7 linked regions of the Tribolium castaneum genome follow. The main gene of each other region encodes a partner of the protein of the gene in region 3 in a complex. Links are inferred from orthologs where the notes say so. Each region holds a gene or a part of one and is shown on either strand. Other genes may lie near its edges.

Region 1 (3,936 bases), on a different chromosome or scaffold from region 3:
TCGAGATGGGGCAAGGTATCAACACTAAGGTGACCAGTGACTTTGTTTAAATTTGAACTAATCGTACACGTGTAATTGAAGGTCATTCAAGTGTGTGCCTACAAGTTGAAAATTCCAGTCGAAAAAATTTCGGTCAAGCCTAGCAATAATTTGATCGCGCCTAATGCCCACATGGTCGGTGGTAGCTTAACATCGGAAACAGTTTGTCACGTATTACCTCACTCTTGTTTTTTTTGTTTTTCTCAAATATCTATCACAGGGTGTGATTAAAGCGTGCGATATCCTGTTAGAACGCATGGAACCGGTCAAAAAACAGCTCGAAAATGCCAGTTGGGAGGAAATTGTGCAAGAATGTTACAATCAATATGTTAACTTGTCGGCCTCTTCAATGTATAAGTGATTCGTTAAGTAATTAATTTCCGAATAATGTTTTTAGGGGTAGCCCTTCCGAACTGAAAAATTACGCGATTTACGGCGTTTGCTCCTCCGAAATAGAGCTGGACGTTTTAACCGGGCAATATATCGTGCAAAGGGTTGATTTACTCGAAGATGCCGGTACTAGCATGAACGCTGGTATCGATATGGGGCAAGTCGAGGGCGCGTTTGTCATGGGCATGGGTTATTTCACGTCGGAGAAGATTATTTTTAGCGAAAGCGGCGAGTTGTTGACCAATCGCACTTGGAATTATAAACCACCAGGCGCGAGGGACGTTCCAGTTGATTTTAGGATCAAATTTCCGGGCGATACGCCCAATGGCGTTGGAGTTCTCAATTCCAAAGGTAAATAGCTTGAATATGGAATCATAACTGTGGAAAATTGTAGCTATCGGGGAACCACCGCTATGTTTGGCGTGTTCAGTCCCGTTGGCGATACGCAACGCCGTTGCGAGTGCCAGAAAGGAAACGAGAAATTCGTGCGATGAATGGTATCCTTTTTGTGAGTTTTTTGTTAATTTGTTACATAATTGGATAATGAATACAATTTTGTAGCGGGACCCTCAACTGTGGAAGACGTTTTCACGAACTGCTTACACGATTTTAAGCAATATACGTTGTAAAATAAAAAATTGTATTAATTGGTTTGGTTTAATAAATGATAGCTGCGCAGTTTGAATTTAATTTCGCGCCACTCGCAGGTGGCGCCACCGCTTTTTACAATAAAAACAAGATGGTTGTCGTAAATAAAATTTGCGGTAGTTTAACCGTCTGTTGTGTTTTTGTGGCAAAATATTAGTAAAAACCGTCGTGTTTTAATGTGGTGTTAATGAAAATCAATCGCTGCATCTCCTGTGATTTCTATGGATGCCTAACCAATTGTGGTCGTAAATATGTATCCCAACTTTATGAATAAGCCAGCATTCATGAATAACCCACCGAATTCAACTTTTGGGGGTAAGTTTGCCGAACTGAATCGGTGGTTGTTACCGTGGTTGGTTTTCTAGCGTCCACTTCGACTTTCGGACAACCTGCCCCCAACACCTCTATGTTTTCATCAATGCAGCCCTCGAACATCTTCCAGTCTGCGAGCACCTCGTCCTTCGCATCGGCGCCCACAAGCCAAACCAGCTTCGGTACGTACACCCAACAGTTGTTAAAGTTAGTAGGAAACAGAAGTAGTATAACCTCACACTTGCCCCCATGATTGCCCATTATTGTGCAACACGTTCCCTTTTTGTTTACTAACACCAAATACACTAATTTGTATTTTACTAACCCGTATGATGAGAATTGAGTTGGTTTGCGCGAATGAGAGAGTGATTTTTGACAGATCAGCATTGCGATAATAAAGCGTCTCGAATTTGTATTAATTTTATTATGATTGTGACAGTTGAGCCGCCTCTCCCGCTGTCTCCAGATGAGGAGAACTACCTGACGGCCGCCTGTGAGTTTCTATTTTTTTGTTACTTTCAATATTTTTCATGAATTTTTTACAGATAATCGCGAAGCTATACGTAGATTTGAGGTGCAGGGTGGTGGTGAGTAATATTGTTCTACTACAGCCTCGTTTACGTTTCCTTGTCTTTTCAAAATGTACATTCTTTTTTTAAAAAAATAAATAAATATGTAAAAATAAAACAGATAACGTTTCCTTATGAAGTTATGACGGAATATCCCATACAACTCTTGTAAAAAGACGATACTCTCTAGGTCTTTTATTTTTTGTATACAGGGTGACCTGACTAATATTTCTATGCCGTTTTCATGAATTCATAGATCTACTCCAAGTACAAACTAAACACCTTATATATAACATAGTTACATTCCACGTAAAAAATAATGTAACCTTTATACTTTTATACTATTAATAGTATCTTTTTCCTGGAGATTGTACACATTAGAACTAGAACTCGCAGACGTTTATTATTCTCACAGAATTCAAGAGTTCAACTAATAAAATAAAAAACAAAGTTATAAGGCATTTTACTTGATTTTAGATAGCCCGGGCTTGGTTGATCCAGCCATTTTGAGATACGCTGGTGCTGGTGAGTTTTTTTGTCATAAATTTATCTTTATTATTTTCTGGAATTTTTAGGTGAGATTTCTCCCAGACCACCGTATCCCGAATTTCATTCACCTCGCGCTGCTGAGCCGGGACCCTCTGGTAAATCGAAATTATTGTTAAGTTGGAATTGTTTCTATATTTTTTTTTATTTAGGAGAACAGAGAGTTCCACAGCCATTAAGCCCGTTTACTATTACACGTAAGTTAATTTAAGGTATTACGTATATATTAAGTAATTTTCAATAGGCCAAGATGGTAGACCTCTTAACCGACAATTGACCCAATATCTTCAAAGTAGTAAGTATTGCGACAGTTGAGCTTTTCGATTTTATTTTCTTTTAAGTTGGTGGTGGCGGTATTTCAGTTGCTTCATGTGTTTGTAAGTAACGGTTTGTTATTTTCGGCCAAAATTTTTTTAAATATTTGATAGGTACAACAACCAGTTCTATGACTTATTCTATGGCCAATATTTCCGATCCAGAGTTTGGTAAGCTAAGTCGATTGAAACAATTAATTTAAAAGATTCATAGGTTTAGCTGATGAGACAATGAGCGCCCATTGTAAGTATACTTCTTGTCTCATATATCGGGAGACACTCCTATGATTTGTATTTATTTGGTTATTTTATTTTATTGTTTAGCTAGTTTAACTAGGATGTCTTGTAAGTCGTCGTCTGGTAAGTGAGATATTCAATGATGGTTTTAACGGAATGATGTGTGATCCCTATCCATATCCTTTTTTTTTCCCAAGCACAGAATGGGCAATAGTCCGATATTTCATCATTCAGTTTCTTAATAAATCTGTCTGTAGGCACAAATCCCTTTGGCCAGCAACCACAACCATCAACTAGCGGTTTATTCGGTGGCTCAAATGCATTCACTCAAAATAAATCATTCGGATTCGGCTCGGCCCCTCCTCAGCCCGGATTATTCGGCCAACAGCCGCAACAACAACCCGGAACCTCTCTTTTCCAATCAAACACTAATACAATGTTATTCGGAAGTAACGCTTTCGGAAACCAGACCACCGGCACTGTTATTAAATTCAATCCGGTTACGGGGACCGACACCATGCAAAAAAACGGGGTAACCCAGTCGATAAGTACCAAACACCACTGCATCACGTGCATGAAAGAATACGAGAATAAATCGCTGGAAGAGTTGCGATTTGAGGACTATTCGGTTAACCGGAAAGGACCCCAACAACAGGCCGGTTTCGGAAGCACCCCTTTCGGGGCTTCGACCACTACAACGCCCTCGCTTTTCGGGCAAACTGATAACAAACCCGCCTTCGGACAACAACCGCAAGCATTCGGCCAGGCGCCGGCTTTCGGACAAACAACACCAGCTTTCGGATCGACCAACACGACAAGCACTCCGACTTTGTTCGGAAAACCGAACACTTTCGGCGCTACCACTAGCACCCCAAGTTTTG
Region 2 (3,620 bases), about 2.6 Mb from region 3:
AGAAACCATAACTTCGACTTCCTGGATTGACAACCATGTAATTTGCACTGTGTCAATGGACCATACGATTAAATTTTGGGATGCTGAGTTGTGTGGTATCAAGAATGAAATAGTTGGCCAGAAGGCATTTTTGGATTCTTCTTGGTCTTCCCTATCTAACACATTATTAGCATGTTCAGCTGATAGACATATTCGGTTGTACGACCCAAGGTCTTCAGAGGGTTCAGTGGTCAAGACTACTTTCACCTCACATACGCTATGGGTCAGTTCAATTGAATGGTCAAAATACGATGAACACCTTTTTATGTCGGGAGGATACGATTCTGGTGTCAAATTGTGGGATTCCAGAAGCCCTAAAGCCCCACTTTATAATTTAGAGGGACACCAAGGGCAAGTCCTAGCTGTAGATTGGTCCAATAACAAGTATCTGGTCTCTGGAGGGTGCGACAATAGTGTACACATTTTCAGAAATAATTATGTGTTTTAAGTGAAAAATAAAATTAATTTTAAAAAAATTTATTAGTTTCAGCTTACAAAATTTAACGTAAAACATTTTCCTTCATTAACGCCAACTGGAGAATGAGGAGCTCCTACAAAAAAAAATGTACTATGCCATTTATCAGTTTAAAAATTCTTACCCAGAGAACGGCGCACTCTGCGCTGGGGCGTTGGCAGCTTGCTGTGCCAAATTCCCAAACCCTACTGTTGGTTGATTGGCTAAATTACCAAAAGCTGTGTTCTGGGTACTAGCAGCTGCCCCAAACCCGGGGCTTGAGGACCCAAACACCTTTGAAGTATTCCCAAAAGCCGGTGGGCTGCCAAACGCCGGCGCTCCTCCAAAACTAGGCGAACTCCCGAAACTGGGCGATCCCCCGAAAACGGGAGCTGCCCCAAATCCCGGTTTTTGGAAGCTCTGACCTGCCCCAAACCCGGTTTGTCCCACAGTTCCACTCCCACCACTGAAGGGCCCCGCAGGTTGCTGACCGAAACTGCTACCCCCGAAGAAGGACGACTGTTGGCCGAAGGAAGATTGGTTCCCGAAACCGGTACCAAAACTCTGGGACGTGTTACTGAAGAGCGATCCACCACTGGAACCGAAAACTGAGCCACTTGACGACACTGGAGAGGCTCCGAAAACGCTCTTATCGCCCCCGAAGGGGTTCGCAGGTGCACCGAAACCCGAACTTGCAGTCGTTGAAACATTGAGACTTCCGAAACCGAACGTTCCGGAACTGGTATTGGTGCCGAAAGTACCGGACTGAGTAGTGGCAGGGGCGAAGACATTCGACGAACCGAAAATAGAGGGAGTCGTAGATGCAGGTGCCCCAAAAAGTGAGGGGGCAGTGGACGCAGGTGCTCCGAATAAAGATCCACTAGTACCGAAAGTACCTCCGCTTGTAGTCGTTGCCCCAAAAATGCTCCCAGAGCTCGTAGTTGGTGCATTTCCAAAGACGGAACCACCCGTTTGGCCAAAAGCGGGTGCTGAACCCCCGAAAACGTTCGTACTACCTGACGAACCAAAAACAGAACCTTGACCAAAAGCGCTTGTATTTTTGCTCCCATCGAAGGGCTGGCTTTGGCCGAACGTTGAAGAAGTTGTGGTACCACCAAATATCGACGGCTGTGTGCTTCCGAATATTGACGGTTGAGTCGCATTTGGTTTTGCATTAAATAGGGAAGGCTTTTGGGCGGCGTCTCCAAAAAGACCGAACCCTTGAGATTGAGTTGTCGTTGTAGGACTGGCAAAAGTCGACTGAGTGGTACCAACAGGAGTTCCAAAAACTGGGGTAGTGGGAGAGCCGAAAATTGACGATTGTGTCGTAGCTGCAGCCCCAAATGAACTAGTAGACAAAGGGGTAGCACCACCAAAAATCTGAGTGGTAGGTGTGGTAGCGCCAAAAACAGTCGCTGGTGAAGTACTTGACGAAACATTGCCAAAAATTGACGGCTTTGATACATTACTATCGGTACTTGCAACAGTACCAAAGACAGAAGCTGTAGTGGAGGATGATGGCAGGGCTCCGAAGATGGATGGTTTCGAAACGTTTGAATCCGTGGTTGCAACAGCCCCAAAAACACTTGATGCAGTTGTGCTGCTAAATATTGACGGTTTCGAGGCGCTAACTTCGGTACCACCAAAGAGTGGTTTAGTTGAAAGAGCACCACCGAAAAACCCAGTTGTGGGCGGAGCTGAAGATATGGTTGGAGACTGAGTAGTACTACTAACAATAGAGCCGAAAATTGATGAAGTTGTCGCTGGCGAAGAGAAAATTGATGAAGTTGTTGCTGGCGAAGAGAAAATTGATGACGTTGTTGCTGGCGAAGAGAAAATTGTTGAAGTTGTTGCTGGCGAAGCGAAAATTGATGGAGTTGTTGCTGGCGTTGAGAAAATACTAGTTGAAGATGGGACTGTTGTAACAACAGGAGCTGTAACACCGGTAGTTGTAACAGCTGTAGTAACAACAGTGGCCGCACTGGTGGCGATTTTCGGTGTTGTAGTTACGGCAGGAACAGCCGGTGAGGGAAAAATAGATGATTTAAGTGCCCCCAATGAAAACGGTGAGGACTGAGTTGATGGAGTGCCACTGGTAGTACTAACTGAATTTGGAGCTGTTACACCAAAAGTGGGTTGGATTGAGACTGGACTCGAGACAGCTTGCGTTGTTTTAGGACTGGTTGTTACAGAAGTCGTAGGGAAAATTGAACGTTGGGTACTGCTAGCAACGGGGGAAACGGCAGAAACCACCACATTTGGAGTACTTGTTGCAGAAGTAACTACTGGCTTTGTAGAAAACGTAAAGGTTTTCGATGTCGCAGCTTCGGTCACTTTTTGTGTTGCTGCACCGAAAATACTTGAAGTATTAGTAGCGCCACCGAACGAAAACTGGGTGGAGGTTGGTGCTGTGGTGGTAGCAATACCAAATGACGGAGTAGAAGTTTTCGTAAAAATCGTACTTTCCGCGGTAGTACTAACACTCGTGGATAGATTAAAAACAGAAATAGACGTACTGGGTTTGGTAGTCGCTGCACTACTTGTTAAAATGGGCGCCGCACTAGTAGTTTGTAAACTGAACGAAAATGTAGTTTTAGGCAAAGATGTGGCAAAGAGGTTTGTCCCCACCTTTGGGGTACTGCTAGTAACTGGTTGGGAAGACAAATTAACAAACGATTTAGGTGCTTGCATGGTTGCAGTACTAGTCACTGCCACAAAACTGGGACTTGTTTTAATAATAGACGCTGTCACGGCTGTAGTTGCAGCCATGAAGGTGGGTTTGTAAGTATTTGCTGATGCAGAAACCGAAGTTGAGACAAAAGCCGAATTTGGAGACCCAGCAATCACGTTTTTAGTCAAAGGCGTGAAAGTTTTCTCGGGCAAATTTGTGAAATTTTTAGCCTCGAATTTAAGGGCTAAATTTTGTAAACCTTCGATTGGAGTTGCCGTGGAGTCGAATTTGAGCACAGTGGGTTTGGGAGTTGACTGCGCAAAATCGAGAACCCGAGGTGCAACTGAAGTTTTTTCGGGAAGCCGACTAAGTTGTTTTGGCGGAGTTTGGATTACGGAACTGGCCAATTGAGGCTTCACGAATGAAATATGTGGATATTCTCTTTTTTGGAGAAAA
Region 3 (4,003 bases):
TTCCCTTCTCCAACAATCTCTCCTTCAGAGAGTTTGGTTGAGAAGGCAAATGAACCACTTGTGACAGCAAAGTGCAAAATAAATTCAAAACCTCCTCTTGATTCTGTAAAAAAATATTAACACGATATTTGTTTATTAAAGTATCACTCACATCAGCCAAATCAAACACATCTATTGCTTCCTCGAATAATCCCTTCTTTACCAAAGAATCGCCAATCATTTGAGCAATGTTTTCCGCACTGATTTCAGCGTTAGTAAACTGGTCGATCAGCCCTTTGGTTCTTATATCATTGGGCTGAATGACCCCCAAAATCTTGTTGTACTCCTTGGTTTCAATAGCCAGATCACACACACAAATCTTGAACAAATTCACTCCATCCTCATTGGTAAAATTGCGCAAGATATAAAAGTAGTGCAACGCCTCATTAGGACAAGTTATTTCAAATTTGCGAACATAAATCATAATTAAACGCGCCAGGTTCAAGCGGCGACTTGGTTTCACATCCATTGGGTCAATACTAACTAATAAAAATCATAAGTAAACAAACAATCGCAAAAACTTTTACATACTAAGTGGTGCTGAACTGTCCCGTGAGCCAGCCAATAAGTACAACTCGTTCAAGGCAATGGCCATATGGACAGCATGAACTCGGTACCTCTCAATTCGGGGCAAAAATTCAATAGCGGCCTCAAATTGACCGGTTAATGCGAGCACTTGGAAATATAAGTGGGGTTGGTTCATGGCGTCATAATGAGCTTCACCATACTCTTCCAAAATCATCCGCTAAGGAATAGTGTATTACGTAATGTGGGAAACACATACGAGCGTTAACAACTAAATGTTACGTAAAAATTGAAAACAAATAACTTTTTCTTGAAAGTATTGGACATAGTAATGCAAATAACAATAATTGTTGCATACAATAACTAATAAACGTGTTGGGTAAAGTAAATAGTGTACACACCTGCAGGTCGTTGTACTTAATGTGGTCGTCCTTTTCGTAATCAGCTCTCACTAAGCTCAATTTCAACCATAAATAATCGTCCGCGGTTCTGGCGACTTCCGAATGCTCATCAACGACATCGCAACAGCCAAGCACCGCACAGACGATACGCTTAAAAGGGTCAGTTTCGTTACGTACATGTCTGCGATAATTGTAGCGCACATTATCCTCCAGTTTGTAAATATCTGGACTGTCAGGATTATTGAGTTTTGCTTCCAAAATAGCAACAATGTCTTGAAACTCTTTTTCGTTTTTCTTCTTTAGACAATAAATTGCTGCTGCTAAATCTCCGCTCCTTATACAGTAGTAGACCATGGGCCATAAAGGCCTTCCATCGATTTTGTCATCTTTCAAGCCCGAATATTCGCCTTGGAGGCGAACACCGACGTAACTGCGGACTAAGGGATAAGTTCCGGGAACTCCCCCAAGCATCGCAGTTGATAGGTTTTCGTTAATGATGTTACTCATATACGTCTTATATCTAGAATTATTTACCTAATTGTGGTCTTTTTTCATTGAATTAGAAAAATAAATTACCGATCTTCCAGATATTTCTTGCCTTGTTTCACCAAAGCGTTTATGAAAGGGGCAGAATTTCGAGTTTTAATCTGATCCTCTGACTGAGGAAACGGCGGCAACTGAGTCATGTATTTCATTATTTCCCACATGTCTTTAACTTTCTGAAATTTTTAAGCTTAAGAACGACTGTATGTTGTCATTAAAATTTTGTCTGATATCAAAATGAGGCAAAAACTTACGGCGTCTCTCAAGTCATTTGCCACGCTGATGAAGCTGTTTATGAGACTTGGCTTCTGAATGCTCCTGCCAATTGCTTGATTGTATTCCATAATCTTGGCGGCATAGAGAGTCTCTGCCACTCCTAAGTTGGGGGTAATAGAAATAGGCCTCTCCATAAAAACGGATGAATATTTTCCAATTTCTATGAAAGCCCCAGATGGTCCCAGCATCGAATTTAGGATTTTTCGTTTTTCTTGTTTCCATTCGCCAGTTTGGTGTTCCCAAGAGCAGTCGGAAATTGTTTTCATGCACTACAATATGTAATTATGCGTATGTACACTTTGGGAACCACGTATGGATTACTTTATTGAAACCGTTTTCAAATACACTCAAAATGCAGTTTTGGATTTCATTTTCAAGAATTCCGACTGCATTTACGTCCTCAACCGGCTCAATGGATTCGAATGTGCGCTTGGTACTAATTGATTCCAATTTTTGTATTATTTTTGGCAAGTCTACGCCTTTTGATCCTAACAATAAATTCCTGAAATTTGTTACGTCCACGTTATATTTAATTCTGTTAACAGTGAATAAGTCAAAGACATACGCTTGAATGTCCTTTGCTCCAGTTTGAGCCACTTTTGAATATAAATCGTTAGAAGCTTCCAAGACCTGCCGAATAGATCTATCAACTTTTGGCAGTTCTTTACTCCCTTCAATGTCAACAGTGATTTTTTCAGCCTCCTGGAGGAGGTCGGCAAAGTCGCCCATGTTGATATTTCTAAAAATGTTGGAAAAAATAATCAAAAACAAGAAACTAAAAGTTGGGTTAGGACAACAATATAACCTTCAAAAATACATAAAATTGATGTATTTCATAACAAGAAGCAATTTATCGGCAAAAACCTACTTGAATTGATGTTCAAACACACAATTTAAAACGTATTTTCGTGAACTTTTGTAATTCTTGTAAAAAATGCCGCTACAAACATGCAACGGTTAAAAACGATGCTGCTTATGTAACCCAAAATACACTTTTTCAGCTAGTTTCAGCACATATAGGCAACCCAAAATTTACGATTTCAGTTTCAGTGATTCTGATTGCCGACGCACTGAAACTGAACAAATCCCCAAGTTCGTTTTGTTTTTCAGTTTTCGGAATCATATCTTCTAATGTATATTTCTTAGTTTTGTTTTCGTATAATACAACTAAATTTTTATCGATTTATTGTAACATAAACCGTAAACATAAAATAGAGCGTCGATGTCGTGCTGGAAATCACTTTGAAAGCTGTTCCAGCTTTATCGATAATTCGTCCAGATAGCAAGGTAATGCGTGGGTGAAGCTTCACCTGACGCTTTTTCCAGTTGCGAGTTCGTTCTTTCTATTATTAACGCCGTACTCTGATGAAACAGACGTCGCGAAATTGAAATGTTTTGTTAATAGAATGGCTTAACATCCTTAAAACGTGTATTCTTTCTTTATCGATTATTTATTAAGTAACATTTATAAATAGCAGAATAGACTTGTATTGTGCTGTAAAGTTTTTTAACGATGGTGCGCACCTGTTATGCAATTAAATGGGGATGTAGACCTTTCATTAAGAATCACCAACCGGCATTTCAGTGTAAAAGGGTTGTGAAAAGAAGCTGCACTTCTACGGATTTTTCAGCATTAGGTAAATGCCACTGACCATAACTATTCAATATTTTAAATTAAGTTAACATATTGGTGTGTTCTATCAATATTTTATTATTATCGAGTCAGTTTTATGCCACTGTGGGATTTATTCGTTTTTTCAATCACCTAATCAACAGTTAGCATCCAGTGCAGGTATGCCTAATATTATTCGTAATAAGAGAAATGTGTTAAAGAAATACTTCTCAAATAATTTTGCTTTGTTTAACACAATGCCATTTTTTAAAGGTGGATAGTGTCTTAAAATTGTTCTTAAATTTATAATAAACATTGAATGTGCTCTCTGAATTGATTTAATGTACATCAGCAGACATTTAGAATATAATTACATAACTGCTTAAAACTAACATGTACGATGCTAATGTTAATTGAAAGTAAATACTACCACATATCATATCAGTTATTAAGTTTTAATTCCATTATAAGTCCGGGCCTGAAAGCATGCTTCAGGATGTATCTATAGCAACGCAGACTAGAATCGCCACTGCTGAAAGATCAGTACACTGTAAGCGCAGACATTTCAGCATCTACCGCGATCCTGAAAAGAACGGCAAGAGCTTTT
Region 4 (3,991 bases), on a different chromosome or scaffold from region 3:
TTGCTAAATATTTAAAATTACGCATTATATCATTTTCGTAAAAAATGGACTTACACTTCTTTAACTCGCAGGTACAGATTATCTATCGATAAACCGTTCAAGAAATCGGGCGTCAATCAATTAATACGTTATTTATCAAAAACTTTGGAATTTCAAAACGAGCAAAAGTATGAAATTACAAATTCTTTATTTTTTTAATCAAAAAGCTTTGTTGCAAGTTTACTCATATTTTTGTAGTTCCCAAAATGGATCACCACACTATCCCCAAAATCGGGTTTACGTCAACGCAGTGCAAACCCGGCACAGGTTTTCTGCCAACAATTAATACGAAAAAGGCCGTGACACTCGAACTGTGCCACGGAAACGACAAACAAGTCATATCACTGCCTGCGGATCGTCTGGATCAGAACAAGCGATACTACGTCACATTTACAGTCAAGGGGAATGAAGGAAGCCCCCCAGAGGAAGAAACAAAAAGCCACAGACATTCAAAAAGCGACTAAGTGCAATATCTTGTTAGATTTATTGTTTGATATGAGAAATTTGTACAAGGCGTTATTGTATAGAGGAAATTTTAATAAAAACGTTTTTCTTGTAAGTCTCATGTAACTGTGTAATCTGTTCCAAATGAGAGCAAATCTGAGACGAGTTTCTATCAATCCACTGGAGCGAATTCATGTGGGCATTTAGAATGCGACTGACTTGAATGACCTACAACATACACACATGATAGGATAGTGAGTCGAAACAAAAATGTGGCCAAGAGTGCTGTGAAGTAGGCAGAGCAGTCTTGACAACATTTGTTGACACAAACCGGATCAGTAATATCTTCATTTTTGTTAGACTCGTTCAAATGTTCCACAATTTCTTTCAAATCCTCGGACATTTGCTTCAATTGGGAGTCAATTATTTCAGACAATTGATACCTAAAACACCCACAGAATGTCGAATATTTTACTGTAATAAACAATTACGTTTGGAATCTATTCTGATCCGTGACTGGAATATCAGTTAATTGTTTCTCTAGAGGAAGACTCAACTCATCTAATTCATTATCTTGAGCTAATACGAAATCAAGCTCTTGGTCTAGTTGTTTCTGCTGCTGTTTCACACGCTCAATTGTTTCATTCAAGGCCAATATTTTATCAGTGTTTGAAACCAACAGGTTATCCCAAGCGTTCAGCTGTTTTGTTTGATTAATGAAGAATTTTCCTTGTTCTTCCAAGTCTATAGTCCATTTGTTGATACAGTCCTCTAGCTGAGCATAGGTTAAGGTACCAGAAGTTGGCAGACTTGCTGCTGTTGTGGTGGTCACAGCTGGCGCTCTTAAAAATTATACGAAACATATCAAAAGTGCTGTAAAAATTTCCCGGACGTATGTTCATAAACTCTTATATTTAATGAAATATCAAAACTACAATATAATACAAATCAGGAACCAGGTGGAGCATTGTCAACGCTGATTTTAAGTTTGTTAAAAAAAAAGATTTCAAATATTTTAATCAATATTTTACGCAAGATATGGTTCAAAATTTGATAAATTCGACATACAATAATAAAACGGTACGAATTAAACGCACAGTAAAAATAATAATGTCTAAGTATGCAACTCGCATATGCTCGTTGTATAACGACAGCCCTCGAACTTTAACCTAGTGTGTTCGCACTCGTATTATATGATCAAAATCGAATTTATTAATAATCTTTTTATTAGTACCCTTAATAAAATACTAGTCAAGACATACTTTAACTAAACTTTCACAGTACTCTTGATATATGTTATTATAAACTGTGACACGCATTTGCGCGGGTTAAAAGTATTTATAATTAGAGTACATACTGTGTAGTAGCTGTAAGCCCCCCTAGGCCTAAACCAGAGGCTGATGTTGTTGTTGTGCTTGAAGGGGTTAGGGTTGTGGTTAGTTTCAAAGGTGCGGAAGTTGCAGCGCTGCTTGCCAACGAAAAACCTAAATTTAAATCGTGTAAAGACTACAAAACCCTAATTTTTTTAAACCTGAAGATAGGGATGTCCCTGTGGACAAAATAGGAGTAAACGAAGTGGCAGCGGTGGTAGTGGTTGAAGCACTTGTCCCTAGACTGAACTGCGGCGTAGTCGTCGAAGTCGCAGCTAAAGTTGACTAATTATTACATAAATTTAACAAAAAAGGGTTACTAACGAGTTATTGTAAAGCTGGGAGTTGAGGTTGCGCTTGTTGTTGTTAAGCCGAAACTTACTGACGCTGTTGTTTTGGGGGTTGTACCCAGGAAAAACCCGGTACTGGTCGTAGGAGTACCGAATAGATTTGTTAGTGGTTTGTTAGGGGTTTGCTGTTTGGTATCGCCTGCACCGCCCGTAGCTGTGGTGGCTGTGTAATAAAAGGGTTAGTTGCGTTTTGGTTAGCAAAATGTCTTACGTACTGGCAATTGTGCTAGTGGTAGGTAATGTGAAACCTGTAGCCGTTTTAGGGGCACCGAAATTGAAAGACATTTTCAGAAAATTAGTTAGCTTCAAGTAGCTTCACAAAATTTATAGGTTAGCTTGACGTTAAATTTTAAAACGATGGTGGCGGCACTAGTGGCGATTGAGGGAAAGATGGATTTTTTAACCATGGCCTCATAAAATTTAGGAAGGAGGAAAATTAAGTTTCAAATTATAATCATAAGTGTCCGTTGGCGTTTCTAGTGTCATAAGCTTCCATATTCCACTTTTTTATAACAGAAGGTTTTATCTTTATTTTTGTTACCCGTAAGTAAAGTCAAAATTGTATAAAAAAAACAAAAAAAAAACAAAAAAAGTGGAGAGAATTAAATTTTCTCTAAAAAGATCCGAAAAGCCAAATTTTTATCTTTAATAATAAGTTTAAATTGTTTTAAAGTGCAAATTATTTTCCATCACTCAAACATTCAAACCATTAAAGATGATTCCGCAAACTTTTTTGTGAGAAATTTTAATCTTCTATAACTTTTTAATTTTTATATCTTAAACCCTATAGACCGCCTTTCAAAAAAATATAGGACGAAGGATAATTTAAATTTTTGTCATTACTATTTTAGTTGGTAGTTTTTCTCAGACTATTAAGAGATTAATATATTAAGATTATTAAGATGCTTACGAATCAAATTAAACAATTTGAAAAGGGGAAGATCTACAGTGTCTCAAATCGCTCTCATTTAAACTCCACCCTAAATTGGTGAGTTACAGTGGAACTCGGTTATAACGAACACTCAAGGGACTTCAGAATTTGTTTGTTATGTATTATACCCGATCGTTTGTTTTATCCGAACATCGTCGTTTATAGAATAGTTTTCAAGTCAACTGAATTCTAAACGTGAAACAGATACACGAAATAAAGTATTAATTTAATTTATTAGAAAAGCATATTTATCTACATTCATCTATGTTTAATAGTTATCTAACAATTCAATAATTTTTAGTTTCGTATCCTAAATTTAAAGATTTCTAATTACTTGGTCTGTTTATGTGCCTGCTGGAATGTCGCTGTAAGTGCATGTAAGTGCTGTAAGTGCATGTGCGTACGTTATAACTTATAACTTATAACCGAGTCCTAGACCACTTTTTTGTCTAAATTTCGAACGTTAAAAGTGAAGTTCATATATTCACTATAACCGAACTAATTTGTTATTGTAGTGTATTAAGTACTGTACCTATATAGAAAAGGCTGAGTGAGGTAGGGGGAAGCAAGTAGGAGAATGACGAACGGGCACTCTTGCTTGTCCCGTCGTGGTGTTAGGAGTGAATAAACAATTATTTGGGGAAAGTGGTATTTTATTTAAAAAATATTACAGTTATTATAATATAAATATAGGGCTTTAAAATATGAGTTTCCATTTCTTCGTTAAGTTGCTTCCACACCAAAGCTGATTTGGTGTGGACATGCCGCTCGGCCATAAGTTACATGCCACCGTTACACGTAAAAAAAGCCGATCATGCCGATTAAGCTTGCCAATCGGACTTGCCGATCGTCATAGT
Region 5 (2,652 bases), on a different chromosome or scaffold from region 3:
TATGTTGCTTTAATGTAAGAAATTTATAAAATACAATTGTTATATTCAATATAAATAAAGTTACACTAATTTTGTACATCCAGATAATTGAATATGACAACTGTAGGACGATTTTATACAATTATCTTGTTTACATCTCTTTTGTATTATATTTTATTTTCACTTTTAAAATTATAACTTGTAAAAAAGTACAACTTTTGACGCAAATCCTTAGTCTTAATTTCCACAGGATTAAGGCTCTTCAGACGTTTTAGCACAGTTTCATTTGGCTGAGGAAATACTTTGTATAGTTGTCTCCATGTATTTGAGTGTATGTCTGTTATATATAATCTTATAAAATTGAAATGTTCCATACAAGTAACATTAAAACTTTTTAATCTATATGGACTTTTAGTTGTAAAGTTATTGTCCTCCACACAAATTTTGTAACTAAGAACAACTGCAGGAATTTCAGATAGTACCAGGATCTAAAAAGAAACTAGGTCAATACATACTCATGATGGTTTTATAACTAATGTAATTTTATTAACTAAAACAAAATTTAACAAAACTTGGCTTTATTAAGTATAAATTATTGCATAATTTAAAAAGATACTAGCGTAGTAGGAATGATTTGGAACATTAAAAAATAGGGTGCTCCTGTCAGTTGTTTTCCATTGTAAACTTCACATTCAACATAAATATGTAAAACTACCCAAACGAAAATAATTTAAACAAAACTAGGCCAAGTTCTTGACAAATATAACTAATAAAATTATACATTAAAAAAATAAAGGCACAAATATGCTGAAAATTCCATCCGTTCGTAAAAAGTAACGCAACCTCGTGATAAATGAATTAGGAATAACAATAGCTGAAGTAAAAATGAAATTTTCAGCAAAACGTTTTATTTCATGTAGAATTACAATATTTACACGAAGCAGTCTAACTCCTTTTAATACTTCTCACATAAAAAGAGCCCAATAACGGCTCATTACGTAAAACAACACAAGTATTTCAGACAACAAAAATTATTCATTTAAATATATCCTACGAATATAATTATACAAAATAGATGTGTTGTTAAAAACCACACTTTTAAACAAATATTTACAACTTTTTCAATTTGAGGAACTAAGGAGTGAGCCTACTTTTTGATAAGATAACACAGACAAAAACTAAATTAACAATAAAAAATAAATACTATTGCATTGCAATAATTACTAGTTCGATACTCAGCAATCCTTGATAAACAACTTGGCTGCCAAATTCTTCCAACAAACCAAATTACAACGTAAAAAAATAATCTAGTCTTCTACCATGGACTTTTGCAATAAAAACAATAATTCGTTTTGTCTGTGTTGATTAGTTTAGATATTATATTTATATGCATATTGTTTATACTTATGTATGGGGCCTGACCCATAAGAATATCACAGTAAAAGTAGCCAGTATTGGCCGTCATATAAATATTATATGGTACGAATCATTCAAAAATTTCACAAATATTTCATCATATTCATCATCACACAATATTGATGAAAATCCTCTTCATCATCATTATAAAATTCTACATTCTATGGATCAGACCTTTGAAATGCCTACGCTATGGTATACAATGTAGGGAGTAACATGCCGTGTACAACAGTGTCATTTGTACACCGACGCATCTGTGAACATTACTTGTAACTGCAGACATTCAGATATGGTAAATAAATTCTGAAGATTTTCAACGTTATATTACATGTTCGAAAGACGAATGCCTGGACTCGAATATTCACAGGTGGCCCATTTATTATTAATGCCTAGCTAACATTTATAGGTCTGAAAACAAATATTGTTTTTAATATCAAGGTGATTGATCCACACATTTATTCTTTACATAATTTAAGCAAACTTAACACGTACTCACACAACTCCAATTTCTTGTTTCACGATACAATCACTCCTCTATATACAAACTCTAGGAAACTATCGCTGCGTCGTCCGTCGGAACGCTTTCTTGATTTTTCGCTGGGGCGGCGCCCTAAACCGAAACATTCACTTGTAACTTCTCTCGTAATAAACAAATACAACTACTTACGTTCCTGCATTTCCATCTGTAAAGTTAAATGTAGGTGGGGCGCCCGTAAAGTTGAAACCCCCGGGTACATTAAGTGGTTGCTGCAAACAATAAATTAAAAAAAAATCACCATCACAAAACAATTAACTTACGGTCGGTGCTCCGAAATTAAACCCCGGCTGACTCTGTCCCTGACTGGGAAAACTGGGCTGACTCGGCGGCGGATTAGTCTGATTAGCCCCAAAACTAAACACCGCTTTCTGATTGTTATTATTCGCATTTGTCCCAAAATTGAAACTCCCATTCTTGGCCGCTGGTCCCGCCGTCCCGAAAACACTCCCCCCGGCATTAAACGGCTGACTCTCCACTTTGGGCGCACCACCAAAGTTAAACCCGGCACTAGGCACCGAGAAGCTAAACCCTGTATTTGGCGCACTTGACGCCCCTGCTGCTGCACTCCCAAAATTGAAAACGGGCGTCGTATTCGGTTTCTCGGCCTGACCGAACGAAAAACCCGCATTTTTGGGGGCACTTTCGAACGCAAACGGCTTGCTTTCGCTCGTCCCGAAGCTCTGGGACGCCCCAAAGGCTGGAATTTTCGGAACCGAACC
Region 6 (2,524 bases), on a different chromosome or scaffold from region 3:
CGCAACAATGACCGAAGATTTATTATTCGCATTCGAAACGGATGAATGTGAGCAAAAGGACGTGGGATTTTAAGGACGGGTTTGGCACCTCCTTGGGCGCAGGTGAGCATTTTTTGCCATAAACGCTAAAGTGCGACTTGTTCTACTCGAAATAACAGATCAAGGAGCTCTTTAACCGCAAGTGTAAACTGCAGATAAGGTTTTTCGGCGAATTCTTCGAAATAATAATAGATCACGCAGTTTTTGGCGAGTTTTGTTATAGCAATAACAATTTTTTTTTCAAGAAATCAGAGGCAACGAATGGGCCCCTCTGATCCTGATTCCGCTCCTGGCGGCTATCATGCTGGTCGCCAGCGTGCTCCTGCTGATAGTCTTCCGACAGCACCCAACCCTGGTTATCACCACAGTCGCCGGCTGCCTCCTCATCGTCACCATCTACCTGACCTTCACCACAGTGGGGAGCGTAACCGAAACGTACGAATGAAAACGAAATAAAACACTTTTTTACGAAACAATCACTTTATTAATTCATCGCCAGGCTTAAGTGGTAGTTGCACATCTCGATCGAGGTTCTTTGTGCCGTTTTGAGGTACGTATCGAGGACGTTTGATAAGTGTTCGCATTCCCGGAGGAAGGGTTTTTCCGGGTCGTTTGAGTTGATCAGCTTCAGTTGGTTGATAAGAGTTATGAAACCGCGAACGGGGAGACAGACGGCTGGTGTTGTGGGTTGCATGGCGTGTGCGAAACCGTAGTATTCCTTACCGTAGCCCAAGGCCGCCATCATGTACTCGGAGGCGATTTCGGCGGCTTCCTCCAGCCGGCCAGACGTGTACAAGAGGCGGAAGAGCTCGGAGGGGTTGCGCTTCTGCAACGCCCAAAAATACGATATTGCGAACTCAAATTATTCTCAAATCAAAATTCATAAAATATGATTCAGATCAACTTAAAAGCGAAATCGCAGATTTTATAAAGATTCAAAAAAATCGTGAAATTCGAATTCAAATCCTCACCTTATAGGACGACAGCAGCCACTGCGGTATCCACAGATTCATCTTAATAACCTGCTTACACACGATTTTATGAATAACGGACATTTTCTCCTCCTCGTACTCCTCCACACACTCCTGCAGGAGGCTCCACGCCGCCTCCGACGCACTTTTCGTCCCAACTGGCAAATCTAAAACCCTCAATTATCACACCCAACCCCCAAAACCACACTCAAACCTTGCAAATTGTTCTCAATCAGCCACTTCCAAGTCACCGGTTCGTTCTGTTTGGACAACGACGCGCATTTTTTCGTAAGTGCCTCAAACACTATCCTGTAAGAAACGTCAAAAGTCCTCGAAATTGTCAACGCCGTCTTAAACAAACCGGCACTAGTCAACAAAATCACCAATTCGTGCGGATCTAAAACCAAAGTTAAGACCTAAAAGTGCCTCACGGCTGCCTCACTTGTTATTTCGAAGTAGTTGCGCGGGTTGAAGCGAATTAACTTGAGCTTGGCGCTGGCGAACGCCAAGTCCTTGGACATTATTTCAAGGTTGATGATGTTCACTTGTTTGCGTACTATGATTTCTTCAGGCTCCTGTTGAAATTTTGAGTGAGGCACGCCTCAAATGCTAGGCTACTTACGTCATCCGAGCCGGCAAAAGTGGGTAAAGTGATGGTTTTATCCTCGATTTGTTCCACGGGCATTACGATGTAAGCGTATTGAGGCTCACACAAGGCTAGGGCGTTTTTCGCAGCAAGGTAACACTTGACTTGTTTTTCCAACGAGTCAGGATCACTGTATTGGCTGAGTCGGAAGGCTTGTTCATACATCACAGAGGCGGCTACAACCAACCAATCACAACAAATCGACCAGAAAATAATCCAGTACCGGCCCGCAAAAAAGTGGTCCCTCTTTTAATTTGATAAGCGTACAAAAAATCGTAGTAAATATTATTCGAGGGGTCGGCAGCGCGCGCCCTCGTCGAGACAATATCACAAAATAGCTCCTCCATCCCGCTGTACGTGAAACCCATCAAAACGTCCAACTTCTTCTCATCCAGCAATTTTTTCACCAAGTCGCGCAAATTGTCCTTGCGTCTGTCGGAATCCGGGTTGGCATTGAGCGAGTCATACGCACTTTGGTAGTTTTTCAGAGCCAAATGGTGCTTGAATTTGATGGAGTACAAAGTGGCCTAGAAGTAACACTAGTGGCGCCCTTTGCCTCAAATGGCACTTACGGTCAAAGGGTCGTCCGGTGAGGTGACACTGAGCGCCTTATTGGCCAAAGCGATCGCACAATCGTACGATTTGTGCAATTCGAACAAATGAATCACTTTCAAGTAGTAGTTAATGTAGGCTTTGGTTTGGTTGTGGTCAGGGGTTAGGATGCGTTGGGCCAAAAATTGGTCCGTGAAAATACCCTTGGCCGCATTTTCGAACAGTTCTTGCGCTTTGTACGGTTCACCAGTGGTTAGTAAAGACGCGGCGAGAAGGAAGCTATCTATAATAATTAATTAGTTGAGGGCGCTTAATT
Region 7 (2,868 bases), about 3.2 Mb from region 3:
ATGCACTTAAAATAATTAATAGCTAATGTAATTTATAGTTTCAACTATTTATTAACTATTTTACAATTTTATGAACCACATTTAAAAAAATAATCTGGTAAAATGCGACGTTGGCGATTTTATAGTTTTGCTTACAATTTTATGAATATCGATAAACACATAGGTATACTTAAATCACCCAATGGTTTTGCAGATTGCGAGTGAGGTAAATGCAGCGATTTTAAAAATGGAACACCAAGAAACAACGGCTTCGAAAATCTCAACGCTACTTAAACTAGTTCTTTGGGCACAAGACAAGTTGCATAAGAAAAATGTCAGATATCCGAAAATGACTGATTTGGCTACTGCTACGATCGAGGACCCGAAAAATTAAGACCAGTTTTGTTATTGTAGATTTTAGTTAAGTTATTCAGCTATTGCATCATTAGTTGTCAATTGTGATCACAGCGGTTAGAGTTTTTTTGTAAATTTGTATACTAATTATTAATAAAGGAAAAACATCAATTGATAAAGTAGTTTCTTTAAAAAAAAAATACATACATCAAATTACAACTTCGTTGATTAAGTCAAGGCGACTACCTTGGTGAATTAATCAAGGAAGCTTAGTACAATAATAAATAACAACTAAAAATCACCAACCAAAAACATATTCAATGGCTTTCGACACTAAACCAGTGGACTTCTGGGGGACATTTTGAGGTGGCAAGACTGAATTATTACTACTTGGACTTATATACGAGTGTCTCAGACTCCTAGCTCTAACCGGCGACGTAAAAACATTCTCATTTTCCTTATTCTCCTTATTATAATGTAAACTAACCCCGATCATAATATTATTATTTATACATCTACCGTTGAGAGCCAAAGCCCGGGGCACATCACACAGGTTGTTAAACTTAACGTGCAACCAGTTCCCCTGCGCTGGCACCTTCTTTTCCACTATAACCCCACAGTTGCTCAACTGAGCCAACACCAGGCTCAGAGCGCTCGGGGGAAACCCAAACACGGTCACCCAGTGGGTGTCTATCTTATCCACGCGACTTAAATTCGTCGTTTCGTTCAAATTCCGACTGTAATTGAAACTATCCCTGAAAGTGTCCCCGATGGCCGTTGATTGCATCACGGGGCTCGTGGGCTTGCGTTTTTGCTCGATTGTGTCAAAGAGGCCCTGACTGGGGGGCCCGGGTTTGTGCGGCGCGAAGGGCTTGGGGCTGTCGAGCGTTTGGTTGAAGAGTTTGGGGTATGAACGCGGGTCTGGAGTGCTGGTGGCCCCCAGCTTGCGCGCTGGGTTGCGGTTGCGGCCAGGGGATGTGTTGGGGGTTGGAGTGGACGGCTGGGAGGTGTCCCCCATGAGGAAAGCTGGGAGGAAGTTGGGGTTGACGCTGGGGGAGGAGGGGCTGGATGGGGCGCTGCCGAGGGTCATGGGCTCCATGGCAAAGCTGCAAAGTGCGGTTGTTTGATGTAAAAAAACAAAATTAGTAAACTTACCGAAGTAAATGATTCGAGTTTTTTGTAAAATGTAAATGTCAGATTTAGAAGTGACAAATGACAAGTAACCGAAATTTAGACGGCTAGTATAGTCAGTCAGCAAAATTGTGCCGCGCACTGTTGGTTGCCTAAGTAATTTCGGTATAATATTTTTTTTACTGATAAATATGTGGATCATTTTGTTCTTACATGTTTTTTTACAGTACAATGGTAATAATTAAATTTTAATTAACATTGACACTTATTTAAAAAATTGCTTATACCTAAATAAAAATGTGCTAAAAGTGTTAATTAGTTAAGACAACAGAACTTGCCTAAATTAAATAAAATTCGATCCAGATTGCTGTGTATTGCACATTCTACGTGAATTACTGTTGCTTAACAACTGAATAATTTTTGACAGTCCGCGGCAATTTGAAACAAACTCTACCTAATTTGTTTTTGTTGTAAAACGTAAAACGAATCCCCCCAGCTGTTGAAAATAAAACTTGAAACTTTTTCATGGATCGTTTAGACGAGAAGTAAAAGTTAGTGAACTTTTCACTTTGACGCTTTATTCGCTCAATAAAAGTAACGTTGAATAGCATCAGCAAAAAAGTGACGCTTTTTCATGCTGAAAGCGTTATAAAGTTGAGCTGAAAAATCGCATTTTCGTGATTTATAATGGAACTACTTATTTTGAAGCACTGCATATGTTTGTATATTTTTTATTTCTGTATCTGCAAGTGTTATCTTTAAATTTTCAAATGTGAAATAGTCACGTATAAGTATGTTTAACATTTGAAATTAATTATTTCTGAACGTAATCTGTGGTGGTAACACGTAATCCCATAAAGGATTTTAAAACCGAACTGAGTTATTAAATTTTTGCTAGAAATGAGAAATTCTTCTACGGAGAAGTTTTTATCATAACTCACAGTAAATATAAATTATCGATGACGCACTTATTGAGATTATAATCTTATTTATTTACGTAGAAATGTACGCAAGTAGGTAGGTACTCGAAATTTTTTAGAATGTTGAAGATTAAAACCTTTTAGAACTTTTACTATCAGTATGTTAAAATATTTAATAAAAATTTACAAAATTTAAGCTCAACAAAGGAATGTATGAGAAAAAAGAGTAGTTGAAAAACGAATGCGCGAATTATTCACGCATATCATGGTAAACCAGAACTGTGAGATGTTAAAAGCAAAGTATATCGGGACAGAGTTAAGAAAAAAGCTTTTATAACCGACATTGTGACTACGTTTAAAACTAATCGTTCTGGAATACTGACAGCAGTTCTAAATTTTGTATTTTGCTTTGCTACCAACCACCCAATTTTGCAGACAAATTTTTCAAAATCTATTAATTTTTTTCTAAAAAAGTTAGAAAATT

The links.
Region 1: nuclear pore complex protein Nup93 (region 3) and Nup98-96 share a complex: the UniProt entries of both Homo sapiens proteins name them as parts of the nuclear pore complex. The link is inferred for Tribolium castaneum from reciprocal best matches to the Homo sapiens genes NUP93 and NUP98.
Region 2: nuclear pore complex protein Nup93 (region 3) and Nup214 share a complex: the UniProt entries of both Homo sapiens proteins name them as parts of the nuclear pore complex. The link is inferred for Tribolium castaneum from reciprocal best matches to the Homo sapiens genes NUP93 and NUP214.
Region 4: nuclear pore complex protein Nup93 (region 3) and nuclear pore glycoprotein p62 share a complex: the UniProt entries of both Homo sapiens proteins name them as parts of the p62 complex. The link is inferred for Tribolium castaneum from reciprocal best matches to the Homo sapiens genes NUP93 and NUP62.
Region 5: nuclear pore complex protein Nup93 (region 3) and Nup153 share a complex: the UniProt entries of both Homo sapiens proteins name them as parts of the nuclear pore complex. The link is inferred for Tribolium castaneum from reciprocal best matches to the Homo sapiens genes NUP93 and NUP153.
Region 6: nuclear pore complex protein Nup93 (region 3) and Nup160 share a complex: the UniProt entries of both Homo sapiens proteins name them as parts of the nuclear pore complex. The link is inferred for Tribolium castaneum from reciprocal best matches to the Homo sapiens genes NUP93 and NUP160.
Region 7: the proteins of nuclear pore complex protein Nup93 (region 3) and Nup35 are in contact, whole or in part, in a crystal structure (PDB 7MW1), measured with the Homo sapiens proteins. The link is inferred for Tribolium castaneum from reciprocal best matches to the Homo sapiens genes NUP93 and NUP35. Residues at the interface, in NP_055484.3 of Homo sapiens: Tyr266, Tyr269, Asn402, Ala407, Asp408, Lys409, Thr410, Glu411, Tyr413, Tyr448, His452, Phe453, Val455, Asn456, Leu461; in NP_612142.2 of Homo sapiens: Ala88, Pro89, Pro90, Val91, Arg92, Ser93, Ile94, Tyr95.

What each region holds. Positions count from the first base shown.
Region 1 is NC_087403.1:3,514,342-3,518,277, reverse strand, and holds the start of Nup98-96 (nuclear pore complex protein Nup98-Nup96), read left to right. Parts: upstream 1-1,136; 5' UTR 1,137-1,328; coding exon 1,329-1,392; intron 1,393-1,442; coding exon 1,443-1,571; intron 1,572-3,312; coding exon 3,313-3,936. Other genes in the region: uncharacterized protein LOC656938, read left to right, coding at 1-29, 82-210, 260-390, 437-780, 824-937, 991-1,058. UniProt on the Homo sapiens protein: Plays a role in the nuclear pore complex (NPC) assembly and/or maintenance. NUP98 and NUP96 are involved in the bidirectional transport across the NPC. May anchor NUP153 and TPR to the NPC.
Region 2 is NC_087398.1:6,201,336-6,204,955, forward strand, and holds the end of Nup214 (nuclear pore complex protein Nup214), read right to left. Parts: coding exon 639-3,620; intron 591-638; coding exon 563-590; 3' UTR 501-562; downstream 1-500. Other genes in the region: ribosome biogenesis protein WDR12 homolog, read left to right, coding at 1-487. UniProt on the Homo sapiens protein: Part of the nuclear pore complex. Has a critical role in nucleocytoplasmic transport.
Region 3 is NC_087398.1:8,838,601-8,842,603, reverse strand, and holds the start of nuclear pore complex protein Nup93, read right to left. Parts: upstream 2,801-4,003; 5' UTR 2,653-2,800; intron 2,524-2,652; 5' UTR 2,514-2,523; coding exon 2,350-2,513; intron 2,287-2,349; coding exon 2,106-2,286; intron 2,054-2,105; coding exon 1,763-2,053; intron 1,685-1,762; coding exon 1,542-1,684; intron 1,486-1,541; coding exon 966-1,485; intron 785-965; coding exon 571-784; intron 523-570; coding exon 152-522; intron 104-151; coding exon 1-103. Other genes in the region: vari (protein PALS2), read left to right, coding at 3,298-3,421. UniProt on the Homo sapiens protein: Plays a role in the nuclear pore complex (NPC) assembly and/or maintenance. May anchor nucleoporins, but not NUP153 and TPR, to the NPC. During renal development, regulates podocyte migration and proliferation through SMAD4 signaling.
Region 4 is NC_087396.1:18,040,756-18,044,746, forward strand, and holds nuclear pore glycoprotein p62, read right to left. Parts: upstream 2,591-3,991; 5' UTR 2,489-2,590; coding exon 2,419-2,488; intron 2,367-2,418; coding exon 2,178-2,366; intron 2,129-2,177; coding exon 2,015-2,128; intron 1,968-2,014; coding exon 1,841-1,967; intron 1,326-1,840; coding exon 975-1,325; intron 927-974; coding exon 815-926; intron 712-814; coding exon 556-711; 3' UTR 504-555; downstream 1-503. Other genes in the region: ankyrin repeat domain-containing protein 12, read left to right, coding at 238-503. UniProt on the Homo sapiens protein: Essential component of the nuclear pore complex. The N-terminal is probably involved in nucleocytoplasmic transport.
Region 5 is NC_087394.1:31,192,339-31,194,990, forward strand, and holds the end of Nup153 (nuclear pore complex protein Nup153), read right to left. Parts: coding exon 2,194-2,652; intron 2,143-2,193; coding exon 2,063-2,142; intron 2,006-2,062; coding exon 1,951-2,005; 3' UTR 501-1,950; downstream 1-500. UniProt on the Homo sapiens protein: Component of the nuclear pore complex (NPC), a complex required for the trafficking across the nuclear envelope. Functions as a scaffolding element in the nuclear phase of the NPC essential for normal nucleocytoplasmic transport of proteins and mRNAs.
Region 6 is NC_087395.1:25,108,763-25,111,286, forward strand, and holds the end of Nup160 (nuclear pore complex protein Nup160 homolog), read right to left. Parts: intron 2,492-2,524; coding exon 2,229-2,491; intron 2,184-2,228; coding exon 1,880-2,183; intron 1,833-1,879; coding exon 1,633-1,832; intron 1,586-1,632; coding exon 1,453-1,585; intron 1,408-1,452; coding exon 1,225-1,407; intron 1,178-1,224; coding exon 1,011-1,177; intron 866-1,010; coding exon 524-865; 3' UTR 501-523; downstream 1-500. Other genes in the region: uncharacterized protein LOC100142578, read left to right, coding at 42-102, 285-484. UniProt on the Homo sapiens protein: Functions as a component of the nuclear pore complex (NPC). Involved in poly(A)+ RNA transport.
Region 7 is NC_087398.1:12,058,577-12,061,444, forward strand, and holds Nup35 (nucleoporin NUP35), read right to left. Parts: upstream 1,627-2,868; 5' UTR 1,489-1,626; intron 1,440-1,488; 5' UTR 1,433-1,439; coding exon 632-1,432; 3' UTR 501-631; downstream 1-500. Other genes in the region: Hou (glucose-induced degradation protein 8 homolog), read left to right, coding at 194-373. UniProt on the Homo sapiens protein: Functions as a component of the nuclear pore complex (NPC).